Linked DNA regions of Drosophila melanogaster. The protein of the gene in region 1 interacts with the protein of each later gene in a pairwise test. Each region holds a gene or a part of one and is shown in the gene's direction. Other genes may lie near its edges. The genes, in order: Nnf1a, vir-1, CG15728 and CG6664.

Evidence for each region.
Region 2: the proteins of Nnf1a (region 1) and vir-1 interact in a two-hybrid assay, tested with the Drosophila melanogaster proteins (one large-scale study listed by BioGRID).
Region 3: the proteins of Nnf1a (region 1) and CG15728 interact in a two-hybrid assay, tested with the Drosophila melanogaster proteins (one large-scale study listed by BioGRID).
Region 4: the proteins of Nnf1a (region 1) and CG6664 interact in a two-hybrid assay, tested with the Drosophila melanogaster proteins (one large-scale study listed by BioGRID).

The regions. Positions count from the first base shown.
Region 1 is NT_033778.4:20,585,072-20,589,262, reverse strand, and holds Nnf1a (Nnf1a), read left to right. Parts: upstream 1-2,024; 5' UTR 2,025-2,089; coding exon 2,090-2,190; intron 2,191-2,246; coding exon 2,247-2,459; intron 2,460-2,533; coding exon 2,534-2,648; intron 2,649-2,853; coding exon 2,854-3,009; 3' UTR 3,010-3,041; downstream 3,042-4,191.
Region 2 is NT_033779.5:12,420,137-12,425,947, reverse strand, and holds the start of vir-1 (virus-induced RNA 1), read left to right. Parts: upstream 1-2,508; 5' UTR 2,509-2,625; intron 2,626-4,085; exon of another isoform or gene 4,086-4,118; 5' UTR 4,119-4,243; coding exon 4,244-4,307; intron 4,308-5,811. Other genes in the region: Fam92, read right to left, coding at 1-409, 465-605, 660-819, 871-1,010.
Region 3 is NC_004354.4:12,622,192-12,629,636, forward strand, and holds CG15728 (uncharacterized protein), read left to right. Parts: upstream 1-2,100; 5' UTR 2,101-2,240; intron 2,241-4,901; exon of another isoform or gene 4,902-4,953; intron 4,954-5,024; 5' UTR 5,025-5,041; coding exon 5,042-5,173; intron 5,174-5,229; coding exon 5,230-5,421; intron 5,422-5,485; coding exon 5,486-6,058; 3' UTR 6,059-6,254; downstream 6,255-7,445. Other genes in the region: Aven (apoptosis and caspase activation inhibitor), read right to left, coding at 6,364-7,219, 7,284-7,312.
Region 4 is NT_037436.4:17,011,882-17,018,659, reverse strand, and holds CG6664 (uncharacterized protein), read left to right. Parts: upstream 1-2,479; 5' UTR 2,480-2,917; exon of another isoform or gene 2,918-2,987; intron 2,988-3,393; exon of another isoform or gene 3,394-3,401; 5' UTR 3,402-3,403; coding exon 3,404-3,519; intron 3,520-3,582; coding exon 3,583-3,673; intron 3,674-3,755; coding exon 3,756-4,667; intron 4,668-4,730; coding exon 4,731-5,210; 3' UTR 5,211-5,774; downstream 5,775-6,778. Other genes in the region: CG7728 (uncharacterized protein), read right to left, coding at 1-175, 236-2,021.

The DNA.
Region 1 (4,191 bases):
CTTATAATTTATTCTTTTTTTTACTGTGTGTTAAAACTAACAAACAATATGAACATGATTTTAATATGTTAACTTGTTAATTTGAAAGTGCCAGAAATCTGCGGGTAGAATAGTATAGGTGACTGACTCTTTAGTTCCATGGAGCAACAAATACCAAGAGAATAAACAAAACGAACTATTTAGGTGTGTCTCTGAAATATCTTACAAGTCAAATTTGGTGTCATAGAAATTTTGTAAAAAGAATTGAGCAAACAACTGAGATTTTCAACAAGTCATGCCTATTGATTTGTTAATATAATATATATTTAAATTTTTAAGCAATACTATTTACAATTTGTTTGCTGACCAATTTGGAACTCAACACATTTACGTGAGAATTCAGTTCAATGTCAACGAACGCGTGCAAATAGCCGCGAAATATCTTTGGAATTGCTTCACTCGAAATAAACGCTAGAAACAAACGAAAAATACCTCGGCCAAAAAAGGCAAATAAAAGCGAATTTTTTCGCAAAACTGGAAATCTAAACAGAGACAAAGGAGATTCGTCACAATCGCCAAAGAACGAAAAGCAAAAGTTGCAGAATTGCTGAGAAGATTTGCAGACGGAAGAAGAAGAGAGCTGTTGTTAAAAAGCTGCAAATGCCAATGGGTTAATGAGGGGGAGGGGGGCAAAGAGAAAAGAAGAGGAGCAATGAAGAGAGGGGGGAGGCAAGTAGGTGGTAATAAGCTGCACCCAACCAACAAGCGAAACAACAACAGTTAGCTTCCATTTGTATTTTTCTCTCTCATTAGCCTCTCTTCGCCATTTCCTCTGCCTCTCCGTTTTCTACGTACCTCATCGATTGATGCTAAAAACTATGAATAAAATATAGGTTAGGCCTTTTCCTTATTTGTAAAAAGCCAACGAGCGTTGAACTCGTCTTGTAGCGTGGGAGTTTTGCTTTCGGAACAACGAAACTATTTTGTTTTGATTTTATCTCAGCGAATTATAATGAAATTTATGCACCGGTGTAACCGCGTGGAGATAAAAGAAAAAGGGAAGCAACGAAACGAAAAGAAAAGAAAAAACAGCAAATGTGAAAAACAAAACAAGCGACTAAAGCGATGGGCCAATTATAAAAACAACAACTATGCGACTCTGTACTTTAAGTAAAAGCCGGCATGCGTGCGAGCAAGCGAGAGAGGCAGAGAGAACAGGGCGGCAGAGCGAGAGAGAGCTAGGAATATTTCTGTGTGCCCTGGTGGTTGTAATAAAATGAAAGGAAGAAAAACTGTAAAACTCAAGCGCCGAAGCCAAAAGAACGATTTTGGGGGTGTAGTTAAAAATCACACTATATTGCTATAAAAAATCGGCATGTATTGGCGAATCTTTTTCTTAGAAATGTATTCAGGAAAACACAAGACCACACAACACACACACACATTGCTTTTAGCCTGGTTTATTTGCCTCGCAAATTCGCTTTTCATTCGCGTTTCCCCAGGCAAAAGATAAAAAAAAACTGTAGAAGAAAAACTCACCTATCGGGATGCCTTTGTTTTCCTTCAGCTACGAAGACTTTGATGCCACCGAACTTAATCACTTAACTTTCAATTGGTATTCAACACGATTTTGTCCGCCACTAAACACTGGCTGGTAAAATATTATTCAAAATATGTATAGCACAAACACACTAGAGCTGAGTTAAAATGCACAAAAGTTAGAGAGGAATTGGAAAATGGCGTATCACCCTGTCATCGATACCTGGACTATCGATATATGATGGTTGAAAACGGTGGTTTAACACTTATTCTTAAAAATACTGTTCGGTGGTATTTATTCATTTTGTTTGACATTGTAATGTAAAAGGCACATATTCTCACCATACCGCTGAATGAAATATATTTATATTTTCAACATCACTTATGTTACAAGGGACTTATGAGTAATAAGAGCTAGTGGAAATACCTCAAAAAAAAACCAATAACAGGGTTGTCACCATACTCTATAATTTCTATCGGCCTGGTGTTTTGCAGAAACTTGCAACTGGTCACACCAATGTGGCATTGTTTTGTTTTGTTTACAATTTGAATTTACTAACAAATTATTTCAATGGAGGATTCGGAAGCCGCATTTAAACGCCACGAGGGTGTGGGACCAAAGGTGAAACAGGCCTACGAGGAAGCCATTAAACAAATCTTTGCCGACTTGAGGTAAGCAGCAGGCATAGTTAACATGATAACGAATATTAAAAATCGTTAATATCTAGCTGCGCAGATCTGCAAGCGTGGGATGCCATTTACCAGGAGCACGAGCAATCCGCTCTGGACACCGAAAGCATCGTAGATCGCACTCGCAGTCTGATGACCAAGGTTGTGCTCGAAATGAACCGATGCTTTTTCGCCAGCAACGATGTGCCAAATAAGTTGCAAACTTTGGAAATGCTCAAGGAACATTTCGCTGCCTACGAGGGCAAGAAATGGTACATGTGCAGCATAAAACATAATACGATTCGATTGCATTGCTAACTCTACTCTACTCTATTGTAATCTATAGGAACGTGAACACTGCAGCACCCGATAAACTCACTCGGCCGCTGCGCATGCGATTTTTGGACTTCAGCGTGGAATTCATGGAGCAGCAACTGGCCTCTCAGGCAAAAGAACTTGAGGTGCGATTTGGATATTAGTTAATCTTTGTACTATTACTGCACTGTTTTGAGTGTACCAAAAGATCCCTAAAGTTAAAGAACCTTCGAGAAGATTTTTAGTTTAATAATTTCATTTCTATAGTTTATCATTTGCATATACATATGTACATATCTAGGTTTGTTATTCTATCAGTATAACTAACATTTGTTTATATTTCAATTACAGATTGCTATGGCCAAGAGCAATGCCAATCGCGAGCGACTCCAACATGTCCATGACAAGCGCCTGAAATTGACTGTCCAAATGGAGCAGCAATTGTCGCAGTACGAGAAAGTTAAGACAGAACTTATTAAACTAGGCGAAGCATTGAACGACTTCTGACAAACTTAAATGCAATAAATAAATAAAATACTACGCTATGAGCTTAATGATTTGAGTGGGGGGTCTTAAAATGGAAATTCATACAAACTAATCTGCATATTCATTAATGTACATACATATGTATGTACACATGCATTTGTCATTGACATTCACAATTTATTTAAATTCGTATCATTGCAATAAGCTCATAATATTAACGAGCAATTGTTTGTATTGGCGACAAAAAATCTTTTAAAATTGAATGTATATACATACATTTCAAGTTATCTCTATAAAGAATACGATAAATAGTACGAAGTTTTTAGCTAAACATGTGTAAACTTATGTATGTATGCATGTGTTTTTTGAGTGATTTCTTAGAATCGCTGTGTGCTTACACACTCCCATACATACATACTTGATTGCGTAGTATAAATCAAAGGAATGGTATTAGTGTAAAAAAGAACCGAATTTTTGCTAGATCTTCCTCAAAAAGTAACTAATAATATACATTTAAAGATGTTTTTTAAAAGATTCGTTTTAATTTCCCTTGTGAGACTGCACTCATTATACAGATTTTCAGTTATATTTTAAGGCAATAAGGACATTGACTCTTTAAAGTGAGGTTATGTGATGTGTGTATTATTGAAATTGAGCGCTTTCGCACACACAAAGAAACACACTTATTGCATATGTGAGTTTGAGTGCGGCCCATTCCCACTTGATTTCAAAGGTCATCTTCTAGCACTGTCACAAAGATTTCGAGTTCAATGGAATTCAGCAGTCCGTTCTTTTCGATTTGACCGTCGACGGAGAAGGAGCTTACATCTCTTGGTAAGCCATTTAAAATGTTGACAAATCTAGACATGATTTTCCCAAGTGCCTGGTATCAGCAAAGTGTTATTTTTTATGTTTATGTAAAGTACACGTTTCTGGTACTAAGTACTTCGAGAAAGTTACCTGCGTAGGATATCAAAACTATCACTGCAGTTTCAGGCTTTTCCCAACTACACCTATTAATACATATTTTAACGTCCTATTAAAGTTGTAGTTTGGAAAGTTTTGGTTTTGCATTAGAAATCGCCACTCAACTTGGTTTTTTCTAAAATTATTTAGGTCCGTTTTGCATATTTTAGGTGTTTTACAAAATCTGTGTAACATACTTAATATATTTTTAGAAAACTAACACCTAAGTGTACGGAA
Region 2 (5,811 bases), on another chromosome or scaffold:
TTCCATGATTGATTCCGGCTCCCGTCAGATTCCTATTGCTCCTGGACAACTTCGGGCGCCTCTTGAGCGGACTGACCAGGTGCTCGTGCTCCAAGCTATCCATCGACTGGGAGCGCAGTCCCTTTTTGAGTGCAGTTTTCCTGGAAGCCAGCTCTTCTTTGGTCTTCATGAGTTTCTGAAACTCAATGAAATCGTCGCGCTCATCAATGGTTCCAATATCATAGTAGCTTGCGCTGAGTATCTCCAATGCCTTGGTGTGCTGTTTCATGGCGATCAGTATAAAATCGCTGATTATCTGCTTTAAGTCGCGCAACTTCCGCTGCTCGAAGTTGCCAATAATGTCGTCTATCTCCTTGTTTGTGCGCTGCACCTCCATTTTGGCCTTAAACAGCTCCGAATCGGCGGCACTCTACGGTAAGTTTTGGGAATTATATAAGAAGTAAATTGTTCGTTTTAATACCCACATTGTTCGCAGAAAACTTTGACTTGAGCTCAAGCATCTGGCGCTGACGTAGTACCTCCTTATCCCGCGCTATGACAGCCAGTCGAAGATTGTCCCTTGTGGACTTGCAAAGCTGCTCGAATTGCGCCAACTCGTTGACAATCTACATAAGTCAATAATATGATATAAGATGCAGATTTAAAAAAGGATAATTCACCTTGTGTTCCAATCGGTGTACATTGATGTCCATGTAATCACCCATTATGGTAACCGCGTTGGTGAAGCTCTTCAGTCCCTGACAGAGACTCTCGTTGATTTCCTCGTCGTCGGCGTAGCTCTTCACACTCTTGGCCAACTCATCAAAGGAGTCCCGATATCTGCAAGGTCTTATGATTATTCATTCAGATTTATTTATTTACCAAACTCACTTGGCCATTTTCCGCGTTACCAAAGCAAACGAAGAGCACATCTCCATTAGATGCCTTTCTGTTATGTTTATGCGCTCGTTTATTATTTTAACACGGTCATCTTTGGTGTTTAGAAAGGATAGTTTTCCACGACGAAACATTATTATTTTATTTTAGTCCCTTATATTTGTTTTCCTTCTTTATTTATTTTATTTCGACAATAAAATCAAGTGAAAACCGTTACCAAGGCAACGTCTAAATTCATCTGGCAACTCTCGTTCGAACAGCCAGCATATTTCCAGCTCTGTAAAATTAACAGAAATGTTAAGAACCTACTGCTGCCAGGTGGCGCTAGTATCAGCGTCTTCTGCAAGTACATAGATGGCGCAAGAATAAAGTTTATCAAGGAAATTTAAAACATTCTAAAAATATTCAATCCTAAAATAAATATCTGAATATGGGTACTTCATTTTTTTCCAACAGTGTCAAGGTCAAGAGCACGTTTCGTTATAATCTGTGAGTGTTTCTGTCTGTCATCCGGTGTCTAAATTTAAATTCGAAAGATTTATGACTAATTAAGAGACTGCAAATGATAAAGAAAAATATATATAATTAGTATATATAAAAAAATAGAAAATATACTACGATATTTACCTGAAGATCATAGCATTGTAAATAGTTTATTTAAAAACAAGTCAATCTGATATTTTAAAATATCGTTGGTCCTAAAAGCCAAGCTTTACTCACTTAAATATATGTAGGACTAAGCTGACTCAAATTCTTCTCACTTCGAAGCCTTGACAACCAAATCTTGTTTTTTGGGGAATTTATTGACTCGACCGCAAGAATGTTGTGTCAACGATTAACCGAAAATGGTAATTTATTTTAAATGCTCCTCTGCCACTTAAAGGCATAGTGCAATCAAACCTGTATTTAGTAAAACGAAAATAGCAGTTCGAATAAAACCAACGAAAGTGTAGTTAAAACAGAATCCGGTTCGTGGGACCACGACAAGAATTACAAGTTGTAGAGCATGAAGAGCAGCCTGCAGGAGATTTTAACAGCTGTAGCTGCGCCGATCGCGATTTCAATCTGGTCGAAAACCATAAAGCAACACGGCTCCCAAGAGGCAAGTTCAGGTAAAAGGGGGCAGGTGGACTTCATTGTCAATCCAAGAACGTAGCTTGGCGCGCGTTCCTTGTCGCTAACTATATCCCCGCCTCTTTCTCGGCGCTGTCGGCCATCCGCTTTGAATTTCTGATTTTTATACATACACCTCGAACTCCAACGGTTTTGGTCAAGGGACTGCACTGGAGGACATTCGCGTTCCGCTGGCGACATTCATTTTTGCTCCCACTGACGTGTCAATGAATATTCTTTTTGTAAAATTTCTGCTACTTTTTGGGTAAACAGGATGGGGCATCTTTGGTAGTGGATCTGTTGTAAAAATATAAAATTGAAAGTTCTTTAGTTATTTTTCTTTTTTTTTTTTAATTAAAACATTGTTGAATGCACATTTGGAGCACTCGGAAGACCCTTCTTCGCTCTCGTATTCTTCTCTGCGCATTCCTCCCTTTCCCGGTCTCTCTTCTCAATTCTTTGTTTTTTTTTGAGTGCCAACGACGTGAGCTGGTATAAATGAAGCCAAAATCGTACGCAACCGTTTAGTCCGAAACGTTTCATTAAAGCCAACGCACGTTGAAGATCGCGCGTTCTTCTCCGATCTTTCGAAATCGAGTGATTCAAGCGATCCACAGAAATAACTGTATGACACCGGTAACAATAATAAAATTTATGCAAATTCGCGGTTGTCGGCATGTGTATGTGAATGAAATTGTGTGCGTGAACAATTTCCGCTTCGGCGCTGACAAAAATGTTTACAAACAAACAATTTGCAGCTTGTTTAGGCTGTCTGGGCAATAATTTGGATGCCTAATTTACTTCACGCAGCTGTTTGCGAAATATTTACTTGTGCTCACTTTTATGCTGAGCCCAACATAAACAATAGCTTTCTAAAACTATCAGACATTAAAAATGCTATTTAAAGTTTATAGTTGCTAATTTTGAAGACCTTGAAAAATTTACTGTCGGGCAAGATATTTAAATAATTTTCTGATGTGCAAAAATTCCAGTTCATTTTGAGATTATAATACATTCTAGATTTAAATCAGTGTATAATTATACAAATTCTTTACGGCTTTTTATATTTATCAGAACTGTAATTGGGTGTTATATCGTAAGTTCTCTCGGGTCAAAAAGATCATTCATAATCGGATTAACTAAAGATTTCCAATAAATTGCCGATCTTTGGCATATTCGTTAGTAAAATCGTGATTAAACCCGGCTCAATCAAGGCGTGACTACTTTATCGATGGAATTAAAAAGAAGCACTCTATCATAACCATTTAATTACTGAGAATAGTCTTTAGCTCCGTTTTCATTTCCTTGGAAGAAAATTCTCAATAGCTGCCCATTAGGGAAATAAGCAAATGATGCTTTTGTTTACAGAAACAACAACCTTGAACTAAACACCAAGCGCATTTAACAGGTGATTCGAGCAGCCGTTGAATAGACATAGTTCCATACAATGCAATCGAAGTGGAATTGAAATACGAATGGGGCGACTGAAACATTCAGCAACTGTGACAGGGACACATTTAAAGTCTGAAATACAAATATAGTGGAATAGAGAAGCCCGCGTGCAGCTAACGAAGCATAGACAAAAACTGATTAAGTAAATTGAAAACACAACTAAATTTACAAAAGGTTCAATGAGCAACGGCGACTTTCAAACACCCTTTTAATCGAAATTTTAAAATATTAGTAGCAAATGCCCTTTTAGAACTGCTTTTATATATATATAATTATAAAGATAAAGTTATATTATATTATATTTTTTATAGTAGTAGATACAATAGTTAATGAACCAGTAAGCTATAACGGAAACAAAAAGGTGTAACGAAAATAAAAGTTAACTTAAATGTGCCTAAGAACATTACTAATACGCTGCATTCTGTACACAGTGGAGTCCCCAAATATTGTACCCAGTTGACGGGCACAGTGTAGCGCTCTTCCCACAACACTTGCCGCCTGCCATTTGGAATATTTATAAGCCCAGCGGCTAATTGAGTGAGAGGGAGAGCAAGAGAGCGGTCAGCTAGTCACTCACTCGGTTTCTCACTCGCTCACTCACTCAGCCGGCCGCCGTTTATTTGCCGCTTCCTCAAATCATTTAAGCGCATTTGACGATTGTTTGTCTTTCCGCACAGAACAAAACTGAACAGAATCGAATCCGGTTGCCGGTCCACATCAACGCATCAAAGCTTTCAGCCCTAAATAAACTATACAAATTAAACAAATTATAAGCTTGTGAAAAAAAAAAAACCAAACAAAAATGAAGCTCTTGTTCGGTTTGCTGATGACCGTGCTAGCCCTTAGCGGCGTTTTCACATTGCCAGGTAAGTGAAAGGCTTAAAAGCAATCCAATCATGATGCACTTCATAAATTAACATTTAAATGATTAATACTTGAAAACTAAATGTTAACTTGCCCTAAGTAATACGTATAACGGAACTAACTAATATGCAATTTGTACACATATGCAACATACATATTTGTTTTCCTTCTCTTTACTTTCTCATTTTTATGTGCACATAATTAGTTATTAAAAAACACAGTCAACCTTTTGACTTTAAAAACAAAGAAAATTGATAAGCACCGGGAATTCTGATTTGCACTCTTCTACGTAGTACGTTCCTCTTATACCTTCTTGATCTGGAATATTCTGGTAGAATCTTAAAGATTACCTCGATGTAATTGTGACTTGGAGCAATATAAATAAATTATTATGCATATAATACGTAATTATTAGTAAATACAATCTGTTGGATATGAAAAAATGTTTTAATTCCACTCTGCAGCAGATTAAAGTTTAAAGTCGCTGCCTTTGCCGGATAATGATGTCAGCATGCTGATAACAAAGCGTGGCACTTGACAATCAGCCAAATGCATCTTACAGATACAACACAAGTAACTACAAATGGCAAAATATCAGGAATGCTCGGCGCAGCATCGCAGATCCAGCGTCCTTTATTGTCATCATCAGCGTTTGCTGTTCGCTGCCTTTGGCTGCCACTTGAATGCATAAATTGCTGAAGAAGCTGCCAGCGAATCGCAGATACCCCCACAGATGGGCGGAATGGTGGGAGTGGGCGTGGCAGCGGGTTGGCAGCTGCCACAGCCACTTGAAGTTGTCAAATTCGTTGCTGTCCAAATCATTTGCCAGGAATATACAAATTTTATGCAACACTCGTGAATCACAATTTTTCGGCAAATCTTGCTTGAGAATCATCTTAGCAATGAGTGCTTGAAATTGCAATGAAATATTTCGTAAATTGATGAGACAATGTTTTTTATTACATATTTCAAAATACACATAGTAGCTACTCTAACTACTGTGCATATAAGTCAGATTAGTACTGTTTAAACATTTGTTTTCTCTATTTAATTATTAATGATTTGCGATCTGAACATGCTGAGAATAGAATCATATCCAATTAAAATAATTTACGTAACCAATTAAATCACGATAATTGTGGATATACTGGATTTATCTGCAGGCTAATCTATTCTGGATTATATATTTCAAATTTAAATTAATATTGTTACATTCTTCAACAAACTCGGAATCGGTTGAATGAACTGTCATATTATACACTCAAGTCATCCCAATTTCTCTGGCTGATTGCAAGTGAAATTCTTGAGCACTTTTCTTCGCTTGTTTTGTTTTCTTATTTTTCTTAATTTGGTTTTTTATGAGATCGCTTCATGTCAGTGTCCCATGGCCAAAAGAATTGGGTTAATTGTGGCCATAATTCGCTTTTAAGAACTTTTTCCAGGGAATGTCTTTCTCTGCCCCAGAACAAATTGCAATTGCATGTTCACATAAATCACTTTTTTTTT
Region 3 (7,445 bases), on another chromosome or scaffold:
ACTATGAAAAAATATTAAAAAAAAAAAATTAACTAGCGTAGATATATAAGAATTATTTTGCTTATTCAGTTCTTTCCATCGAGGATCGTCTGTAGCTACAGTTATATTTTCATGCCCATTTAGCTCGCTACACAAAAAGGAGGAGAAATGTTTAGCCACAAATTGAATCTGCGGTGAGTGAGTTAACGAGCGAGAGAGAGGTCTAGATGGATATAGTATAACCATGCCATAGTGTATGCCATACCATAGGACACCAGCTAACGCCAACCCAACCCAAGCCAACCCAACGAGGATATGGCATGATGATATAGGGGCAGACGACGTGGAACGGGTAGTAGTTTTCAAGTGGTGCAGAGCGGCACAGAACGCTAATTAAAAAGATACTTGATGGGAGCCACCGGAAACAAAACGGAAAAGCCAAAGAAGCGAGGCGGGCAATGCGAAAAAATGCGGGAAAAATGGCTGAAATGCGAATGAAAGGCAAAGGCGAATGGGATGGCAAGCAAGTTAACGTTGCCATGAAATCGTCTATGAAATGTGAATGTAATCTAATGAATAAAATGCATCTGCTAACCCCCATCATGCCAGCCACTTGCAGATACAGATAGATGATGGATGATTCTTTCACCGGTTTCCTTCGCGTTTTTTTTTTTTTTTTTTGATACCGCAAATTCTCACATTCATGCGGTTCATTTGCGCAGCCATTGAGATTTGAATGGCATTTTTAATTGGTACATTTTACGCAGCCATCCTTTGAGCACAAAGGCACCTCCTGCTCCACCAGCCCTTCTCCTTTGAGCTGGCCATCATTCAATTTGATTTGTATTTATTTAATGAGTTATTAATTGCATTAAGCTCTCGGCGTTGGAGAACTTTGCAACTAAAAAAAAAAAGGAATAAAGCCGGGAGAGTGGGGAAAAGTTTTTCGGCTTTTGCTCGCATTCAGGCTGAAAACTACGAAACTAAAGAGTTCGTACAATTTGCAGCTTTGAAAAAAAAACAACAGAAAATGCTAGTGCCAAAAGTGTAGCATACTTTTCTGCGCACTTTTGCCTGTGATTATGAATTTGGGTTTGGCCGACTAAAGAGGCGCGAGAACTTCAAGACTAGCCAAAACTATTAGCAAATCTAAATCTAAATTATATTTCCAAATTCCAAATTCCATCTTTCCATCTTACATTTGTTGCCTCTGTTACTTCATACATTTAAAATGGTAAGCAGCCCACGTAACATAAAATTATATTATATATATATATATAAATAAGTAAATAAATAGCAAGGTGTCAGAAATACAACATAAATATTCTTGAGATCTAAACAAATTGGACTTGTTAAAGTAATGATTGTTTTGGGCCGCATAAGTATTGTAAAATAATAAAGTTACCACAGAAGGCACTTGACTTTGGCCATGAATGTACTCACTTTACTCACAGGGGAGGAACTGTCAGTTACTCCCTGCCATTATATACCAATTTCAATTTAAATTCCAGCCTGCTGTGGCCCATCCGCGGGGCAGAAACAAAAATATATATATATGCATGTATATAAAAATAAAGGAAAAAAAATAGAAGTGAAGTTCGGAGAAACCGCAACAGCAATTCTCGACATAATGATTGTGTTGAGGGGCGATTATGTCATCATGGATGGGCAGGGCAAAAGGACTCGACACACTTGACTTCCGGTTGGAGGATGGCTGCGAGATGTTTGCCATATTGTGTGAAAATTTGTGTTTTCCCCCGTCCACTGCAATTGGCGGTGGTGGTTTCTCGTCTCGTTTTTGTGATTAAAAATGTTTGTCATTATCCGCTTGGAAAATCGTCCGAAATTGTGTTTGTGCCGCGGGCCGTGCCACACTTGCTTATTTCAAATCTGGCATCTTTATGCCTAATTGCCGCATTGTGTCCCATTGTGCGGCCATCGAACCTGTGGATTGAATCGAATCGGATCGAATCGAATCGAATCGTCTCACAGTCTCAGCCTCGAACCCCGACTGAGCCATACAGGTTGCCTCTGGCTAAGAGTCCATGGCTAAGGGAAAGCCACTGACTATGGCTTTCCATCGATCAGTTGCAATTTGTTGCAAAAGCGAATAGTGGTCAGCGGAATAAAAAAGATACCCATTGAAATATTAGTGAGCTCCTTGATAATTTGCTAATAATTGACGAGGAAGTGAGAAGTAATTTCATTGTACAAGTGAAGTATTCTTCCGCCAAGCTAAACATTTCATACAAAACGTACAGGTATGTCCAGTTTTAATTACATTCATTACGATTCCTGCCCCTTTTGTATATAAACTTTGAGATCCCCATCCATGGGGATGAACTTTATGAGACTCCTGAGCTCCTCGAACTGCATCTAGATATTTTAGAATTTTTGTATCTTTTCGTTTGATTGCTAATGATATAGTGAATCTCAAAGCATTCTCGCTTGTGCCCACCAGGAGCATATTGATCTCAAGGATTCGCTTGAACTTCTGGCACTGATCAAAAAGATCCCAAAGCTTTCTTTTTTGAGTTTTTCTTTGGTGCAATTTCCAGGTCATCACTCTCTTTCACGCTCCTAAGCTCCTAGAACTATCTATATCTATATATTTGGAAATTTATGTATATCTTTTTTTTATTGCTAATGATATAGTTATTAGAGCATATTGATCTTAAGGTCAAAAATAGTCCTAAGCTGTTTAAATAAAGGTTAAAGTTGGCCACAGCACTTACATATACATACATACAGGAAACTCTGTAAAACATGAAATTCTTTATTACTTGGGCACTTTTTCTTCATTACCCCCATCTTGCAAATTCTTTAAAACTGTTTCTAGTTACACAACGCATATAATTAATAGAAAATCAATATGTTTACCTTACCGAAAGAAATTCGCTTAGTATCATCAGGGCCGACAGAAATATTAGACTTATTTTCTTTGCAAGGGTCTATTCGATTTCTTATGTCGCGTCTTGCAAAAGTGGCTAATTCTCAGATGACATTTCGTGATAATTGGTGGGTGGAACGGTTTGGATTCCACTTGCACTGTGGCTATCATTTGTATACATACATCATACTTTCCAATTGTGTAAACAACAACTTCATTAGTAAACAAAAAGTTCGCTGGGTGGTTACAGAACGCAAATCCTAAGCCCGAAAACCGATTCCCTTTCAAATGCCACAAATCAGTAAATAATGACATGAAAATCTGTTGGCTTTTGTCAGGCCCCGCGGCCTCGAAGACCGAAAAATGAAAAAGTTAGTTGGATGGGGGAGGGTTTTCGGTTGCAAAAGTGTTGAGACAAGTGGGGTGGACAATTTGCCTTAAATTAGGCGTAAAATGCACAGATTGGTTACAACAAACAGCGCACACAAGCGGCTCATCAGTTCGGTCCACCCTCAAAAATTAAAGGGTAGCTACTTGCCACTTGTCATCACCATCTTGATTATTATTATCATCGCCATCCGACGGGAACCGGATATGATTGTTAGTATCTATTAGCACAGTTGAACCTCCAAATGATGGTTCCATAAATAATAATACCAGTCTTGTCATTTTTTTTTTTAAGTAAGATAAATAACTACAGTAAAATTTTTCTTATGATGAGCAAAAATACTCAAATGGAAAATGTAAACATCTTTTCAATCTTGTAGTAAAATAAAAATGTAAGCATCTTTTCCACTTACGGATGTTTGACTGTAATTGGCCTGGTCTGCGTTTCCCGTTCAACTTGCTGAACAACCCTCGCTAATTGAGCACTTTTGTTGCGTTTAATAGAGGGGGATTCTTGGGTTTTTACACTTGACGTAGATTTTTAGCTGGACGCTGATATAATAGATCATATTATGCTATAGATGTTCCCAGTTGATTAGCATACAATCGCTTCGCAAGCAGTGGCAGCTAAATTGAGGTTATGTTTGCAAGCAGTTCAGAAAGAGAGGGTTATATGTTGCCTACCCCTTTGCCATTTAAATTTGATCAACAAATACATGTGCATAATTAAAAACAAAAAGGAGAGCATAACACACACACACACACACACAGAGAGATTGCAAAAAAGTTGTTAATCTTTTCATGCCGACGCATAATTAAAATGTGAATATGGAAATTTCAATAGGAATCTGTGCAAAAAATGCCCCAAAAAAATAAAGGGGGCGATAAAAAAGCAGAAGAGCAGAAAGAAAAGACCAAGCAAAGGACGCACAAACACACACACACACACAGAAACTTAACGGTTTCCTGCTGTTATGGCCATCTTGCTTGCACCTCTTGCGCTTTTTACCGCCAGTTCGTTTGCGTGCGTGTGTGTGTGTGTGAAAGCAAGTAATTGCGAAATATGAAATATGAATGCATAATGAGCAGATATTCGCCAAGTGTGCAAGAAACTTGAAGCGGCGATGGGCGTGGCAGGTGGAAAAGTGGGAGTCGGAAACGGAGGCCAGGTGACTTTTATGCTAAAATGCGCACATCGCGCGTGCATTTGCATTTTGCCAGCCTTTTCGAAAGCAGTGCAAGGACAAGCACAAATACACACAAACAAAGGCGGGCACACACACAGGCAGGAAAAATCATAACTACAGTAAGCGTCCGATAGCAGCGACTCCTCTAAGTCCTTCAATTTTATGCGATTCAACTAGAAGTTCAACACAAAAGTGTATTTTGTCTAAAAATGAACATAACTATATAATTATAATATTTTAATATATTATTACAAAAAATTAATTTTAAATCATGGAAGATGTACATAGGTTCAAGGTTCATGAATTCAAATCAAAAGCTTCATAGTTAATTCCTAGACTTTTCAATTAAAAGTACCCACTTGCTGATTTCACTGTACTCGGCTTGGCCAAGATGGCAGCCAAGTGTGTTTGAAAAACATGTCAAAATGTTGTGGAGCTCATTAAAATAGCGTTGGCTATTTGCACACATCATATCTTTCAGTCACTAATTTGTAGAAGGAGGAGGAGAAGGTGAAGCAGCAGCAAATCCTTGAAGGCGCCTTTTCCCTGTTCAAAAGTAATGCATAACTCCCTTTTTCCAGCTTTTTCCTCAGATAAAATGGCAGAATACAACATGAGCCACATGGTGCGACCCCAGGGATTCAGTTTGGAAGAGCTGCGTCAGACTATGAGTCGATCGGCGATTCGGGAACAATGCTACTTTATTTATGCCACCGGCAATATTCTGGAGGTGATCCATATTCATATCATAATCACATTATCTAATTTATTCACATGTTCCGTTAGATTATATCTGGTTTTGATGAACTGCTCAACCAGGAGGGGATCCAATTCGGAGCAGATAAACTGGCTGCGGTGTATGTATGCGGTTTGATGGTTTATCTACTCCATCATGAGGACACGTCGGCCACCCAGGTGAAAAGAACTCTTTTCCTGCAAAAGTGCTTCAATTATATGGCATGCTCCGAGGAAAGCCATGTGAGTAAGCATATATATGTTTGAAATATATATTTTTTGATCCTTCCCTTTCTTTGCCCAACAGATCCACCAGGTATGCGTCCATGTCCTGGGTCTCTTGGATATCCAGAGTTCGAGCACAATGCTCAACCTGATCCTCGGCTGCCGCGTGGCCAGTCCGCTGTGCACAATGGCCAGCGTTGTGGCTAACTGTCTGCTCTGGGCCATGTTGGATCATATGTCGGACTTGGGCCTGGACTTGCACCGATTGCGTCCGGCTAACACACTGCTGCTCGTCGTTGCCGTGGTGAAGCCGCATATTTATGTAATATCCTATTTGCATTCCCTGCACCTGGTGGTCCGTTTGATATCCAGCATCCTGCTGATCGGACCATTCAATGCCCAGGGCCAGCAACTGTGCCAGGAGACCGATGTGCCGGAGGATTATATGAAACTGGCCAGGGACGATTGTTCGATATTAGTTCGCTGGCTAATCGCGATCGTTGATGAGCTGCGTCCGCTGATGGTGGAGAACAACGATTTGGGGCATCTGCATGAGCGCCTGGTGCTTTTGGAGTCCATATGTGAGCTTATGCAGCTCTTGCATGGCCATTTGGTTAAGTGTTACCAAGGCAAAAGTGGACCACAATGTAAGTAATAGCGAACGGAAACAAAGAAATCTGTTATAAATTCAGATACTTTGATGAGAAGAGAATTGAAATCTTCAATAACTTAACCTAACCTTTGAAACTTATTTCAAGAAACAATCGCATCGTATATATATGCAATCAACGATTTTATTATACACAATAAAAAGGCTCTAGCTTTAACTATAAAGTTACGAGGAAAACTCTAGATTTTGCAATTTTAATGATGCTACTTCTAAAAATGCAAGCACTTAGTGATTTGAATATTTCGTGTAAGCGTAAAAAGCTCTGGTAATAGTCCTCCTGAACTATGTAACTATTCATCCAAAACGGAATCCAGCCATTCCTCCACACCGTTTTTGCTTGCTGCCGATGAGGGTGTGGCCGGCTGCACCATAGGCATTGGCATCGTAATGGTTCCAGAGCCTATATCCAGTTGCGTATCGGTCATGGCCAATAGCTCGTCAAGTTCATCAGGTTCAGCTGCTGAGGCAGCAATTGGTTTTTCCGCCGCTGCAGGGGCAACGTCCTTATTGGACTTAGCAGAGGGAGCTCGCGACTTGGCGCCCCCATTGGCGTCCTTCAGAATGCACTGCTGGTAAACTGCCTCAGCCCGTTCGGCGGCCTTCTCTTGGGCGGCAATCTGAGCGCGGGTGAACAAAGACGCCGGATAATCCATACGCTTGTATAACGGAATCGTTTGCAGACCCACATTTAGGCGGGTGAGGTTCAGGGTGAAGTAAGCACTGGCAGCCTTGGTGTGTAGCTTGGTCTGGCCCTCGGCCACGTTGGCCCATTCGCGCTCTGACCCAAAGGTGAAGTGGCCGCCACCGAGGCTGGGAAACTGGGCCAGCTGCTGGAAATCGCCAGCTCGTAACTGGGCACGGGCATTCTCATCGATGGGTGCACCATCCAGGCCCAATTGCTCCACATCGTCGGTGTCGCTGGGCAGGGTGTCCAGCATGTCCCTGTTCCGTTGCGGTGCCAACGATGAGCGGCCTGCTCCACTGGACTGCCAATTGCCACGCCTGGCCAACCTTGGCTCATCGCTCGAGTCCGCCACATCAACCATGCTGCGACGGGAGGTGGGTGGTGGCGATCCCGACGATGTGGTGGAGCGCCCTTGATCCTTTTTATGGTGATGATTGTACTGCTTCATGTTCCTGCGCTTTCTGTAAAGGATGGGTTGTTATTATTAGGTGCTAACTGCGAGGTGAGTGGTTACGTTGCACGTACTCCTTGGATCGATCGTCCTTGCCGGACATTTTGATGGGGGTTGTGTGGTTTCCGGGGTGTTATTTATCTGGTAATTCCGATTCAAAATCGGTTTGTTTATTCCTTCGTTCAGCGACGCGAGTGTGAGCGGGATGGATAATGCGGCAAACAGCTGTTCCCTTA
Region 4 (6,778 bases), on another chromosome or scaffold:
TGCTGCTCGCCCGTCTCTAAATCCTCAAAGTCTCCGTACACTTCGCTTTCTGCGTCACTCATGTCGTCCATCTTTAGTAGATTTTCAGCATCCTCGCTGGCCTTCCATTTGCCGGTAACGAAGCAGTTCTTGATAAGTTCCTTGTTGTCTTCCGCCAGCCAATCCCGAGTGGCATCTTAAATTTAAAACAAGTGTAAATAGATTGACAATTCTTAGAAAAATATATTTAACTTACCACCCTGATACTCGAAGAAACACCGCTCGTCTTTATCCCTAATGTCCTGGTCTGATTGCTTCAGGCTTTGTTTTTTAGCAGCCACCCGGAACAGACCACCTAGTTCTTCTTCTGAGTCGTCTTCTGCTTCTGCCTCCTGACGACTATGTTCACTCTGATTATACACACCGTAGACAAGGCGCATCAGGTTTTTCGACTCCGAGTGACGTTGGAGAAAAGCATCGCGGGCCTTCTGGGCCAGATTAGTTTTCCAGCTCATGTTGCTGGCCAGGACGCGAGCCTCCTCATCGTCCGAATCGGATTCGTTGGATGTTTTCACATTTCCCAGGCTTTGATATTCCTCATCGCCAGAAGAAGCGTCTTCCTCAGCATCCTCCTCCTCCTCACTGTTCTCCCCACGCCAATCGTCCGCATCGAACTCATCCTGCTGCTCCTCCTCACTGTCAGCGGCATCCAGACCAGAGTCCTCTCCATCGTCATCCTCATTCTCACTACTTTCCGCCTCTTCATCCTCCTCTTCGTCGTCTTGATCATTGCGGAAGTCCTTGGACTTGATGGGCTTGGCATCTGAGAATAGACGGAACTCCTGCTGTTCCATCTGTTCATCAATGGTGGCCTTCTTATCGATCAGCTTGTTCACCAGCTCCGCCTGCTCGGCAGCCTCAGCGGTCTGCTCCTGTTCCTTGTGCGAGTGCGATCCCTGTAGCTCAATGTAGACAGCATCCTTGTCGTAAACAATGCCACCGACTCCGGACATGGGTGCATACAGTAATCGCTCTTTCTCCAGCAAACTTCGCTTCTTTTCCGTCCCAGGCAGGGGGCAAGGATCGGGAATGACGTTTAACTCGTCGATGCGGGCATCCCCCAGGCCAGCTATGTGCACCATGTGTTCTTGCTTGAGAGGAACTCCTCGGACATAGCCATAGAGTACTACCTCGCGATCGCACTTAGGATCTCGGCGCACGCGATCTGTGTTTGTCACATCCTCGATGCGGTCTACCAGCAGATAACTATGTGCACCTCGCCACTGCAGCGGGCGAAACTTCATCACAGAGATAAATCGTCCCAGGTTTTTGACTTCGTTCCGGAGGTACTCGCCGTGAAGAAGTCCAGAAAGGTAGAATAGCTTGGCGCCATCGTAGACTTCCGTCCAAAAGCGGTGCTTCAGTTCCTTCTTTCGTTTCCTCAGCTGCTTGGGGTTCTTGATCATGTCCAGGTGGGTAAGTACGCCCATTATCTTGGGCATGCCGTGCACCTGGCAGATGTTCAGGAACTCAAAGATCTCCATTTCGAAGCCGTAGCTTGCGTCGCAGAGCAGCAGCACCAGATCGGCGCATTTGGCCACATCGATCATGGAGTTCACATCGTTGTTGCACTCCAGCAGGGTAATCCGGCGCTTCTTGGAGGTCACAATAGTAATGGGACCCTTTATATCGGTGACATTCGTCCGCGTAAAGCTTTTAATTAGGTCCTTGATCAGCGTTGTCTTTCCCACTTTGGGTGGTCCCACCACGGCAATCAGTACGGGTGGCGGTACGTTCGGAGTTTGATCGACAACCGGAATATGCTGCTTCTTGGCCGTAAGGTCCTCCTTGCGCCGGAAGTTCCTCTCTGCTCGCTGCGCCGAGTTGATGGCGAACGCCTTGGGATTCCTCTGCCTGGCGGTCAACTCGGGCTCCTTCTGGTTGGAGTCCTTCTTGGCCTTCAGCTTTTTCTTGTCCGCCTTCACGCCGGACTGGCGGGCGCGGTGCTGCTTTCGCTTGTCCTGGCCGGCATCGTCGGCCATTGTTACAGCCTTTAAATATATTAAATTATTAAATTATCCGCTGTTTGCGCGCTGCACGTGGAGCCAGTGTTGCCAGATTATGAAACAGCCCCAAATCAATTGGTTTCATCCAGCCCTGAATACATATCGTAAATAAATAGTACGATAGACTGACTATATTTTGTTTGTTGCGGCCTACGAAATCTATTGAGTAAAGTAATGGTTTTGAACGTATTATTTATTTCAGCATATGTTATACGCTACTAGGAATCATAAGCACTTTGTTTGTAACACGTATAAGCGTAACCAAAATCGCAATCGTCAAACTCATGAAAAATGGTATACAAATCAGAAACGTTTAAAACACAAATTAAGAAATAATTTATTTAGTAATGACCGTTTTTAAGTAAAATGTCAAATAATACACATTTCGACTTCCACCTTACAACGACAAGAAAGAAACTTACAAAATTAACGTATCTGTCTATTTTCTGATATATTTTGATAAAATTGTAATACAATTTTTGAATAGCATAATTGTATTGTTTTCCACCTCTACTGGTATTTCCTCAAGTGTCATCACTACCTCGCGGCGTTTCGCTGTGAGCGCTTTTTCGGTATTTCGCCACATATACGGTCACACTTCTGCACTGTGGATTTTTCGCAATTTGACTTTAATTTTATTCGATCGGATCGGGCAAAATGTACCGCACTCAGATCTGCAGGCCCTAAGCAGACGCCTAAGGTTCAACTCTACTCCGTTCGCAGCTGCATCCTTTCACCTGCGCAGGTGAAACGCAAGAACGGCAACCAGAGCCCTGGTGAAACAGAGTCGGCGAAGGAGTGTTCAAGAGGGGGGAGGAGCAGTGCGGCGGAAGGCAAAAGTCTTTTAAGGCGAAACAGCGCACAAAAGCCAGGTAACCAAAGATAGAATCTGGAAAATCGGACATTTTCAGCCGGTTGAAAGGGGGAGGCGTAATCCCACATGTGAGTTGGAAGTCACTGGCAGTGGTGGGCTGTGGGTGGTGGTGGTGGCGATGGCGATGGCCTGCCAGCCTGTGCAAACCCTTCCTTCGCCGACCTTGCCCTTCTATCGATTTCCGAAAAATTGCATCAAGCCAGATGCACAGAAAATCACAGCTGAAGGTTAAACTTTTGCATCGGATCAGGGCCAAAACCAAACACCACCACCGACCGATTTCTTTATTCTTTGTTCCTCACGGGGCGCAGACGAATTCAAGAATAAAGAACAGCCAGTCGCCACATATATATGTACTCATGCACATATGTATAATATATATGTGCTTAAAAAGCGACTGGCATACATTATTTCTCGTCATACATATATGTATATGCTCAAAAAACGTAATGGCACTGGGCCATTTACCTTTAGTTTTGCAGGCATGGAAAGTCCCTGTGAATCCGAAAGTTCGCTGGACGGTGGCACCATGCTGCCACCAAGCCCAGTTTCCCGGGAGCAACTCCAGAAGAGGATCGAATCGCTCACCCAGCAGAACAAGTAAGTCAGACACTATTTTTAAAATGCATTTTTACCACAAATAATATGACTCTACGCTTCTAGGGTGCTGAAAGCCGAACTGGATACCTTCAAGACCAAGTGCAAAGTGGTGCAAGAGGAGAATCGCTGCCTCAAGCAAGCCTCAGTCATCATTGTTAGTACTACTTTTATGTTATATCAAATTGAAATTGAGTTTCACAAAAGTTGCCTCAATTTACCTTTGTTTACTTTCACAGCAAGCCAAAGCCGAGCAGGAGGAAGAATACATCTCAAACACGCTGCTAAAAAAGATTCAGGCCCTCAAAAAGGAGAAGGAGACTCTGGCGCACCACTACGAGCGCGAGGAGGAGTGTCTGACCAACGATCTCTCCCGGAAGCTCGACCAGCTGCGTCAGGAGAAGTGCAAGCTGGAGCAGACACTTGAGCAGGAGCAGGAGTGCCTCGTCAACAAGCTTATGCGCAAGATTGAGAAGCTCCAGGCGGAGACGGACAACAAGCAGACCAATCTCGAGCAGCTGCGCCGCGAAATGGTCGAGTTGGAGAACACGCTTGAGCAGGAACAGGAAGCTCTTGTAAACAAGCTGTGGAAGCGCATGGACAAGCTGGAGACCGAGAAGCGTTCGCTGCAAATCAAGCTGGATCAGCCGGTTTCCGATCCGACTACGCCGCGAGACATCACAAACAACGCCCATGCCAATGGTGGCGATACGGCCACCAGTTTGAGTGCTCATATCCAGATTCTGCGCTCCGAAGTGCTTCGCTATCGCTCCGACCTGGCGAGCGCTCAGAAGGAAGCCACTATCAAAACACAGCAGTATGCGCAGGAAGAGAAGTCGATTCGCGAGGAAAACGCTCGCCTTCAGCGCAAGCTAAAGCAGGAGGTGGAGCGCCGCGAAGCCCTATGCCGGCACCTCTCCGAATCGGAATCCTCGCTGGAGATGGACGAGGAACGCTTCTACAACGAGAACCTGATGGGAGGCGGTTCGTTCGCTGTAGCGACGGCAGCAGCCGCCGCCGCAGCTTCAGCGGTGAGCGCCCAACGTCAACGCACCATCAGCAGTCCCGTCTCCCACAGTCCCTCGAGTAGCCGACCTCTAAGTCCGGGCACGGCGGTGCAAAACCGCTGCTATGCCTGCGGCCAGCTAGTGGTGAGTACGATATTGTGAAATGTTGCTTTCCAGATTTGTAAAATTAAAAATTCTTCGTTTCAGAATCGTCGTGCCAGCGAACGCTTCATAAAGCCAGCACTGCCAACGCCCATGCTGGGCCTGAACACTTCCGCACCGAACGTGCTGACCTCAACCAACCCACTGCTGGGCATTTTGGGAACCGGCAGCTCCTCATCGTCCGCGTCCGTATCAGCTGGGAATGCCGCTGGCGGCTTTCTCTCGAATCTGGGAGGCGAACGCCTAAGCCTTGGCTCGTCAAATTCGGCTGGCGGCAGTGCCACCTTCTTGGCCGGCGGTGGAGGTGGAGGTCTGCTGGCCCAGCTCACTAGCCACTCCAGCGCTTCGTCGTCGTCGTCCAATTTGATGAACATCAGCCTGAACAACTCGTCCAGCGGCAATCTTGTTAACAGCAGCAGCAACTCCTCACTGTCGGCGTTTACGCCAACCAATCCGCCCAGCTCGGCGGCCACGGCCTTTATCCAGCCAGCCAGTCCAATGGACACGTCCACCTGCAAGGACTAGGAGGATGCAGTAGCTCTCGCACAGGGATACAGAAAAATCATGACTTATTCACACACTTTCACACGAAAACACACTATATTCATAAACACGCACGCATGCAAGCAACCAGTTTAACGATCCTAAAAACATAAGAAAACACAGAAACAAAAGATGAGAAAGTAACTATCGTAAGCTTCTCCAGGGCGACTCAAAGTCGCCACATTTATATATGGTTAATATGTATATGTATGTTCTATTTGATCAAAATCTCTTAAAACCTTTCAATAACGGAATTCCTAGGCGAACGAATATTTAGCGCTAATGTTTAAGATTTGAATGTTTTTCTAATTTCGCTCGGTTCCAGTTAAAGTTAAGTAAAACACAGCTAATAATGAGATATGGAGGATATAGAGGATGAGAATGAGGATGGACAGCACACGCTAACCAGATCGTATGAATTTATAAAAAGGGTGAATTCTATTCATGTCGAAACCATTTTCCCACAATTCCTTCGCATGTGGGCCTAAAAAATTTTGAAGTATGTTTATGTAAGCCAACAAAAATAAAGTTCAACAATTTAAAATTAAATAAAAATTCGTCCAGAATTTTTTTAAATTAAATTTTGTTTAAATTCGAGGTGCAAGGTTTTCAAAATTGTAGAAAGTACAACTGTAGACACTACAATATATGAATTGTAAACATCATCTGATAGGTTTTTTTAAAATATGTTTTCAGAAATAACATTTTTTTCTTTTGACGAACCACAAGAACAAGAATTTTCGAATTTCCGTTAAATGCACGACAAATGGTGGGGCAACACTTAAAGTATCCCCTAAAACTGCCTTCATACTTCTGCCACTTGGCGTGCACACACTGGCGCGCAGCTGCAGCTAACTTCGCGTTGCAAAATGCTCTTGTGTTGTTTGTGTTTGTGATTGTAAATAAAGGCCAAACAGTCAGCGCGAAGCGTTAAGACCAAAGACTAACCTTTGGGCCAGGCCAAAAAGCGGAGTGTAACACCTCGAGCGAGAGCAAACAAAGCCGCAAAGTGTTCAATTAAAATAAGTGACTTGACTTTGATCTGAGAACCGAGAGAAAGACGGTGAAATAGGTGGGCAGGAAGTGGGAAGTCAATGATAAATGACAACAAAAAAGTGTGTATTGGCCAAAAGAAGCTCGCATTGGTAGCAACGACAGAAAACCATTTACACACACTCAAACAAACAAACACAGATGGTGCTCTTTAAACGCTGCTGCCGCTCTCCCTCTCTTTCACTCACACACATTTAACGACTGCGACGCGTCTCTTGCAAACTTTTTAAAGCGGACGCCAGCGATATTCGGTTCTCATTTCGATGTGGAACGGTAAAGAACCTGTGTCGCTTCCGCAGCCGATTCGCGAAAATAACACAAAAATAGCCATATATTATTTTTGCTCAATCAAATAAATTCCACTGCAAGTGCGTATGTGTGTGTTTGTGTACAGGAAGAGATCAGATAGATCAGAAGCAGTGCAAGAAAGAAAAGTGCAAAGCGAAAGTTTTGGTTTTGATTGTGCAGCATCCGCCATCTCGCTCTGGCAGGCGCGC